2 linked regions of the Oryzias latipes genome follow. The protein of the gene in region 1 interacts with the protein of each later gene in a pairwise test. Links are inferred from orthologs where the notes say so. Each region holds a gene or a part of one and is shown on either strand. Other genes may lie near its edges.

The links.
Region 2: the proteins of sergef (region 1) and DPH3 homolog interact in binary tests that used the Homo sapiens proteins (3 or more experiments, as listed by UniProt). The link is inferred for Oryzias latipes from reciprocal best matches to the Homo sapiens genes SERGEF and DPH3.

The regions. Positions count from the first base shown.
Region 1 is NC_019864.2:15,636,379-15,640,931, reverse strand, and holds the start of sergef (secretion-regulating guanine nucleotide exchange factor), read left to right. Parts: upstream 1-1,691; 5' UTR 1,692-1,756; coding exon 1,757-1,795; intron 1,796-2,014; coding exon 2,015-2,153; intron 2,154-4,062; coding exon 4,063-4,215; intron 4,216-4,553. Other genes in the region: tph1 (tryptophan 5-hydroxylase 1), read left to right, coding at 1-65, 168-342. UniProt on the Homo sapiens protein: Probable guanine nucleotide exchange factor (GEF), which may be involved in the secretion process.
Region 2 is NC_019860.2:24,999,078-25,002,408, reverse strand, and holds DPH3 homolog, read left to right. Parts: upstream 1-1,756; 5' UTR 1,757-1,788; coding exon 1,789-1,896; intron 1,897-2,145; coding exon 2,146-2,220; intron 2,221-2,389; coding exon 2,390-2,458; 3' UTR 2,459-2,807; downstream 2,808-3,331.

The sequences.
Region 1 (4,553 bases):
ATCACAACGTTTCAGGACGTCTACTTTGTGTCCGACAGCTTTGAAGAGGCCAAAGTCAAGATGAGGTGTGTTTGTTAGCTTCATCGTCTCACACTCAGAAAACAAAAACACATTCATCTTATCTTTATTAACAACTAAATTGCACTTTTGCTGGGTTTTTTTTCCAGAGAGTTCGCCAAGACCATCAAGCGCCCCTTCACAGTTCGATACAACCCCTACACCCAGAGTGTGGATGTGCTCAAAGACACTCTGAGCATCAACAGCGTGGTGGAGGAGCTCCGACACGAGCTTGACATCGTGGGTGATGCTTTGAGTCGACTCAACAAGCAGCTGGGCGTCTGACTGCCCACACTTCAGCTGAAGCTAGCCTCCCACAGCCCATCCGTGCACGCTGCGTCCCCCCCAACACTGTTGTAGAGATGTTGCTTGTGTATCGTTCCCCGTCAGCTCAATCGCTTTTTTAAGCTGAATATTCTTTTGTCGATGTAAGTTGTGTGAATGACTATATATACATATATATACATGCATTCGATGTGTGTTGACTTCTGTGTCAGTGAGCCTTTCAAACCCAAAGAGCTGCTTGATCTGAGACACGATTTAGCTTCCATTGTACTTGGATTGTTCTTGATCATGCAACTGATGTGCTTTCATGGTTCTTCACTGCACTTTTACAAATCCCCAGCTGTTACAAACACTTCCCAAAGCTGTCACTGCTGCTCTTGTGTATGACATTGTGATACTTTTTGTTACTGGTTAAAGATTTCTTCACTTGTATTCTTCTTCACTTAAGTGATACATATATCATGTACCTTGTTATTGTTTTATCTGGGTGAACATACTTTTATGCTCTTCTTTGTACTGTCTAAGGAACTTATGAAAGTAAAACCTTTAACTTCTATAAAGAGAAAACCTTTCATGACTGATTGTGACAGATCTGGCCCATTAAGTAATTGATTTAGTTTCTAATGGATCCTAAAGAAATTATTAATATTATTGCACTCTGCATTTGAAATTGTTATTTTTCTACTGTAAAGAAATGTAGAAAATACTTCTATATTATGTATGAAAAAAAGACTATTATTAATAAAGTCTGTTCACAGTCTGTTTCTCACACTTTTTTAATTCTCAATCATTTGGGAAAAAAAAGTTTTTTTATACAAAAATGTACTTTACATTGATTTACATAAATTAAAAAAAAAAGGTCTGGTCATAGAAATTTTTAATTCAAATAAATTTGATTTGCTATAGAGATCAACGTGCCGCCTCTTTTAGCCAGTTTTAACCAAGTATAATAGGCCTATACACTTGCAAGAAAAGGTAGGTGAAAACTTTGGAAGTCCTTCGACTTCTGCATGAAATGAACAACAGTAGTCACATTAGAAAAACATAGTCTGCTTCAACTAAAAACACACAAACGATAGCTTTTCATACACTTGTTTTTTTGTTGCTTGTTTTTTCAGTGGAACCCTCCTCACTAATAAAAGAAAACATACTTTTCTTTTCCGATAGGCTGAGACATGAATAGTAATTTTATTATTTTAAAATAATCTATTACATATTCACTCGTGTACATTTTCTCAATATAATTCCATAAAGAACTTTTATTTGCTGATATGTGCGGGTTTTTTGTTTGTTTTGTTAGATTAGTTCCACTGCTTGTCACTGTAATAAACATATCTCTCCACTTGGTGGCGGTAATGCACCAAGTCCTTTCTTGAAAATCTCAATTGAACCAAAGAAAAAGAAGAAAAGTCCCATGGAACGTAGCTCGCTGGAATTTTGTTTACACACCTGGGTAAGTTTTTTACCTGATAAATCGTTGTTGTCAACATGTCCAAATTTCATCTCTGTGTCTGATTAACTTTAATATTTAAGTGGAACATGAATCAAACACTTTTGGCGACGTAAAGCGAATTACCCTGTTGTTTATACAAAGCAGCACGCTACAAAAAAAAACGAATTAACTAAGACGAGTGTTTCTGAATCTGACCTCTGTAGATTTGTGTTGTTTCAGGGAGCCAACAGTTACGGGCAGCTGGGACAGGGACATGCGGAGGACCAGCTTGTTCCTCGGCTCTCTGGAGTCTCAGAGCTGCAAACCAAAGTGATCCGGGTCGTGAGGGGCGGCGGGGGACACACCGCTGTCATCACTGGTACTGGAATAACCGAGTTTCGACACACATCCATCGTTATTCAAACGTAACTATTTAAGATCTGAGAGGATATACTTTAAACATTCCACAAGGGAAAATCTAAAGAGCATTTAATGGAAAATATGGCGAAAGAGAAAGAGACTTTATGACTACATGATATAGAAAACACACGCAAAACAATAAACACAACCAAAATACAAAACTACACACACAGAAACACTACATTAGTCTGTGAAATGTATACCATAGTTCAGGAAAGATTTCGTGTTGGGTCTTTAATCAAAGAATACACAAAAGGACTCAGGTTTACTTTTAAATCTCTAGCTTTTTTTGTCCAAATTTCATATTCACTAGGGCTGCACGATTATGAAGAAAACTCGAGATATGCGATATTATTAATTAATATTGCGATAACGATATAATTTGCGGTATATAAACAATTAGCAAAACAACCAAAAATATTATTCCCATTCCATTACAACAGCTTAAAAATTATACTACAAATGACCCTTGTTGACGCAGGAGGCGAACATACAACATAATAGGGCGCCATCCGATTAGTTAACAACGTGAAGGGCTCCATCTGATAGGCCAAATGCAGAAAGGGATTCTTTCGATCCATTAAACACTGCAAGCTGCCATAAGATTGTTTGGCCACATCTAAGGTAACCATTTATTGCAAATTTGCTGTCTTTTGCGATATGCATATTGCACAGCTTGAAATTGCGAGAACGATAAATTAGCGGTATATTGTGTAGGCCTAATATTCACAAATGTAAATTCTCTGGTAGAAAACCTTGTTTCATTCTAATCTTTTCTGAGTTAAATCTGTATACAAATAGCATTCGTAATGAGAAGCAAAAAGAAATCAAATCCTTGTCTGTATGTGAAGGATGCAATTTTTTTCTTGCAAAGTTTAACCCCCTGGCTTATTTCTATTTCTATTCTTGTTATATATATATATATATATATATATATATATATATATATATATATATATATATATATATATATATATATATATATATATATATATATATATATATAGTTATGTTTTTGACATTTGCAATTGTGTTCTTGCTGTGTACCTGAATGTGAATTTTTGTAAAATGGCATAATGTTCAATAAAGTTTTAAAAAAAGCTATGCGATAGTTATATTAATCTAGACATTTATAGCTATAAAAATAATTGGAAAAATACATTATATAAAAACAGCTATAGGAAAATGTCAAGCTTTTTATAACAATGATTGAAGTCAGTAGAATGCATTATAAATGACACCAACCCCAGTAATTAATACATTAGGTTTTTTGTTTGTTTTAGTGCCTTTTTTTTGTATCTCCATTGATCAAAATCTATATTTTCTGTGTTTATTTATATAGTGTGTTTGATTTTTTTTCACTAGTAACAATTTTCCTGAAGCTGAAAAGTCAGACGCATTTATTCCCCTCATATGTTTAACGTGGGACAAAACGTACCTGTGGGCTGTAAACAGATGCCAGAGTAAGCTGTGATGCTCCGGTTTACGGTGAAGGCTGAAAAAATGACCAACCTGAACAAAACCACCTAAAATTGATCAAACCGTATTTACCTATTTACAGGCTGTACCTGTAAGTGAGACGAATGTACAGCTTCACCATAAAAACACGACACACCAGGAAATCTACAGAGGAACTTTCCTGTACAGACATTGAGTTCTTGATTTTGAAAAACTGTATTTTAGACCAAACAGATCAATAACTCAAGTTTTTGAAGAAAAAAAAGTATAAATGTTAATGTTTGTAAAGTTTTTTTGTGATCCAACTCTTAATAAATATTGTTGAACCTTTTTATTTCTAACTGTGGTTGCTTCTGATGATTCAGCTTGTTTTATTGAAGCTATTTGTTCTGTTGTTTTGTGTTGAACAGAGGGTGGAGAGGTGTTTGTTTGTGGGCAGAATCACAAAGGTCAGCTGGGAATTGGTCACTGTGCTGACATAGCAACTTTTCAAATCTGCCCCATCTTTAATCAGAGAGTCACAGATGTTGCCTGTGGTTGGGATTTCTCTCTTCTGCTAACCGGTAAGAAATATTCACAACTGAACACAAAGTGCTTTTTCAAAGCAAGTTCTCACTTGAAAGTTTATCTCTCCTAAAGTGACTGAAGCGAGGCAGAATTAAAGTTGGGACTCCCTCATTAAAGTCCCACTCTTGTCATTTTTAGATTTCATTTCAAAACTGGACTTTTCCAGGACATAGTTTCTGCAGAGCGGCAGGAATTCATGAGAAATTCGCTGATGAGCTGTGGGCGAGACCGTTGGCATGGAGTAGGTCTCCCCTCATTTCCCATCATGCCTTTGTTTGCGTTATCTCCTACTCGCTTACAGCCCCTCACAACCCCACCCTAACATTAGCGGTGC
Region 2 (3,331 bases), on another chromosome or scaffold:
TTTACCTCATCCAATTACAATCAGTATATTTGGTTAATATTTGCCCTTTAGCTTTGTTAGATCACATTCATAACTCATTATTTAAAACGTGATAAAGAAAATCAATTAAAAGCAAGATATGAGTGGAAACAAATTTTCAAGTGAAGCAATGGTTTTCAAAACTACTGCCTTTATTTATTTGAACACAGAAACTGAACCCATTCAGGTGCACAACACAAGCTGAACACATAGAGTAAACCTATTAGTCTAGACAACACATCAGCCCCATTGAACACATGGCCTCCTAGCCACTAGCCTGTACAACACATGGTCCTGCTGCTGACAGCCTGGTCCTGTGGCTGGGTGCTGATGCTCAATCTAAATGGCAAATGGTAAATGGCGTATACTTATATAGCACCTTTCTTCCAACAAGGACAAAGCACTTTACAGTCACACACACATTCACTCACACATTCAGACACTGATGGCGGCTCCGCTGCCAAACACAGGGGCCCGCCTACCACCAGAGGCAAGGTGGGGATCAGTGTCTTGCCCAAGGACTCATGGGCGTGCAAGGCGGGAATTGAACCTGCAATCTTACAATCATGGGTTGACCGCCCTACCGCTGCACCACGGCCGCCCCAATCTAATCATCTTCTTCAGAGTCACTGTCAGACTCTGAATTTTCAGAAATGTGATCCTCTAATTCTGAAACCTCCTCTTCTGAATCGTCTCCCTCTACATCATCATCAAAAACGTCTCTCTTCTAAAATCAATTCCATCTGCGCAGAAAGCCTTTTGGCCATTTTGATCAGTTGTGATAAGAAACCACACTGGCAAAGCTATGTTTAACGTGTCCCGCCTCCAATTTGTAGCAGATAAAGAGCGAGATATTAAAGATTCCCGCAAGAAAGTCGAATGGTCAAATGTGCGGGAGAACGAGAGCAAACAGAGTTGATTCTTGAATTATTCTAACAATGTTGTAACCTTGTGCAGGAACCGCAGGTGCAGAAACAGAACTCACATTTACAGTGAATCTTTCTCTCTCTGCCTCTCTCTCTCTCTCTTTCTCACTGGTCACACACACACACACACACACACCCACACACCCACACACACACAGCAGGCCCAGACAGGTGGAGGACAGAGTGTAGGTACATAAAACATAAATTTCCACACTTCTATTAGCCCCGGGTCCAGTGGACCCGAACATCTTATATGTAATAGAAATGTGTTGGGGGGGTATACGGTGTGTGGTCATTAAAAATATCTGTTCTTCACAGAAAATGAGCCAAGGCCAGTGAGTTTGAGTCTGAAAAATTAATTAATTGTATCATTTTTCTTTTGATAAAAAATGAAAACGGGTCCCACAGACCCGAACACCACATAAGGGTTAAATAAATACATTTCTATGTCCAACGGTAAGGGTCAAACATTCTAGCTCCTTTTGGTTTTAGTGATTCATCCTTAAATTATCTGGAGCCTTTTATTCCAGCACAGATATGAGAAATTCTGGAGATTTATTTTAATTTTAGAAGAACTTCTAACAGAACTTAAACAAAAAAAGACTAAATAAGGCAGAACTTTCCTAATAAACAGATGAAAAGCTGCAGAAAAACAAATGAAGTTTAAACATAAAGAGTTTACAATTAAACTTACGGACTCCGTTCATTATTTTCAGCTCCTTTACACCTGAAATCTGAACATTTAGGACTGAACGTTAATCACAACAAACACGTCACGGGCCGTATTCACGGGGCGCTCGTCGGTGACGTCATCAGGAAGCGCCGGCCCGGAGCCGTCAGAAAAATGTCCGCGTTCCACGATGAAGTGGAGCTCGAGGACTTCGAGTACGACGAGGACACGTGCGCGTACTACTTCCCGTGTCCGTGCGGGGACCGCTTCGTCATCACGGAGGTGAGCTGGGCGCGAGGAAGATGAGGGCATAGAAGGGCTGGGTCCTGACGGAGGGCTGCTGACGTCATGAACATGTGCACGCGCTCCTGCTGTTCCATGTGGTCAGACGGAGGGGATTCGAACACTTAAAGAAGTCCCTTTGAAACGATGTTACCGTCACTTTAGGGGAACATTCCACCTTAAATCCCTTAGAGCTGCTTTTCCTGCTGTGACGTCACTGAAGACCTGAACCTGATTTTGGCATTTTAGGAGGATCTGGAGAACGGAGAGGAGGTGGCCACGTGTCCCAGCTGCTCACTCATCATCAAAGTCATCTATGACAAGGTAACCCCGCCCCCAGGGGAGGGAGGGGGGGGGGGTCCAGAGTGGGAAGGGGGTCCACAGAGGGGAAGAGGTCCACAGTGGGGGGAGGGGTGGGGATCCACAGAGGGGGGGGGGGGGGGGGTCCACAGAGGAACGTTCAGGATCCAGACTAAAGTTGTTTGTGTTACAGGAGGCCTTCATGTCTGGAGAAACCATCCAGGCGCCGCTGGAGCCCAAACTGGAGCGGGCCCAGTCCTAAGGGGCGGAGCTTTTAACCAAGGCTGACTTAGACACACCTGGAGGGAACGCTTCCACTGAACCAGCAGCCAGGGTTCTGCAGACCGGTTCTCATGAGGAGCATGCGGTCTGACGCTGAAGATGACCCCACAACGCCGCCATGACAGACGCCGCGCACCTGAACACGAAGGGGGATGAGCGTGCTCAGAAGGTGTAAAGTCATGTGACCTCACACCTCTGAAGATCAGAAGACTGAACTGCAGAGGAGCCAGATCTCCAGGATCTGCTTCGCCCTCTGGTGGTGAACTGATGAAACTGCATGAAGAAAAACGTGACTGAAAAATTAAATAAGTTAAGAAATTTTTTATTGATCCCACATTGGGGAAATTCAATTAAATAAAGAGTTTGTAATCCTGCCAGTCCACGGCTGGTCAATCCTGGTGCTGAAGGCCCACGCCCGGGTCCTGAAGGCCCACGCCCCGGTCCTGAAGGCCCACGCCCCGGTCCTGAAGGCCCACGCCCGGGTCCTGAAGGACCACGCCCGGGTCCTGAAGGACCACTGAAGGCCCACGCCCGGGTCCTGAAGGCCCACGCCCGGGTCCTGAAGGCCCACGCCCGGGTCCTGAAGGCCCACGCCCGGGTCCTGAAGGCCCACGTCCGGGTCCTGAAGGCCCACGCCCGGGTCCTGAAGGCCCACGCCCCCGTCCTGAAGGCCCACGCCCGGGTCCTGAAGGCCCACGCCCCGGTCCTGAAGGCCCACGCCCGGGTCCTGAAGGCCCACGCCCCGGTCCTGAAGGCCCACGCCCGGGTCCTGAAGGCCCGGGTCCTGAAGGCCCACGCCCCCGTCCTGAAGGCCCACGCCCGGGTCCTGAAGGCCCACGCCCCGGTCCTGAAG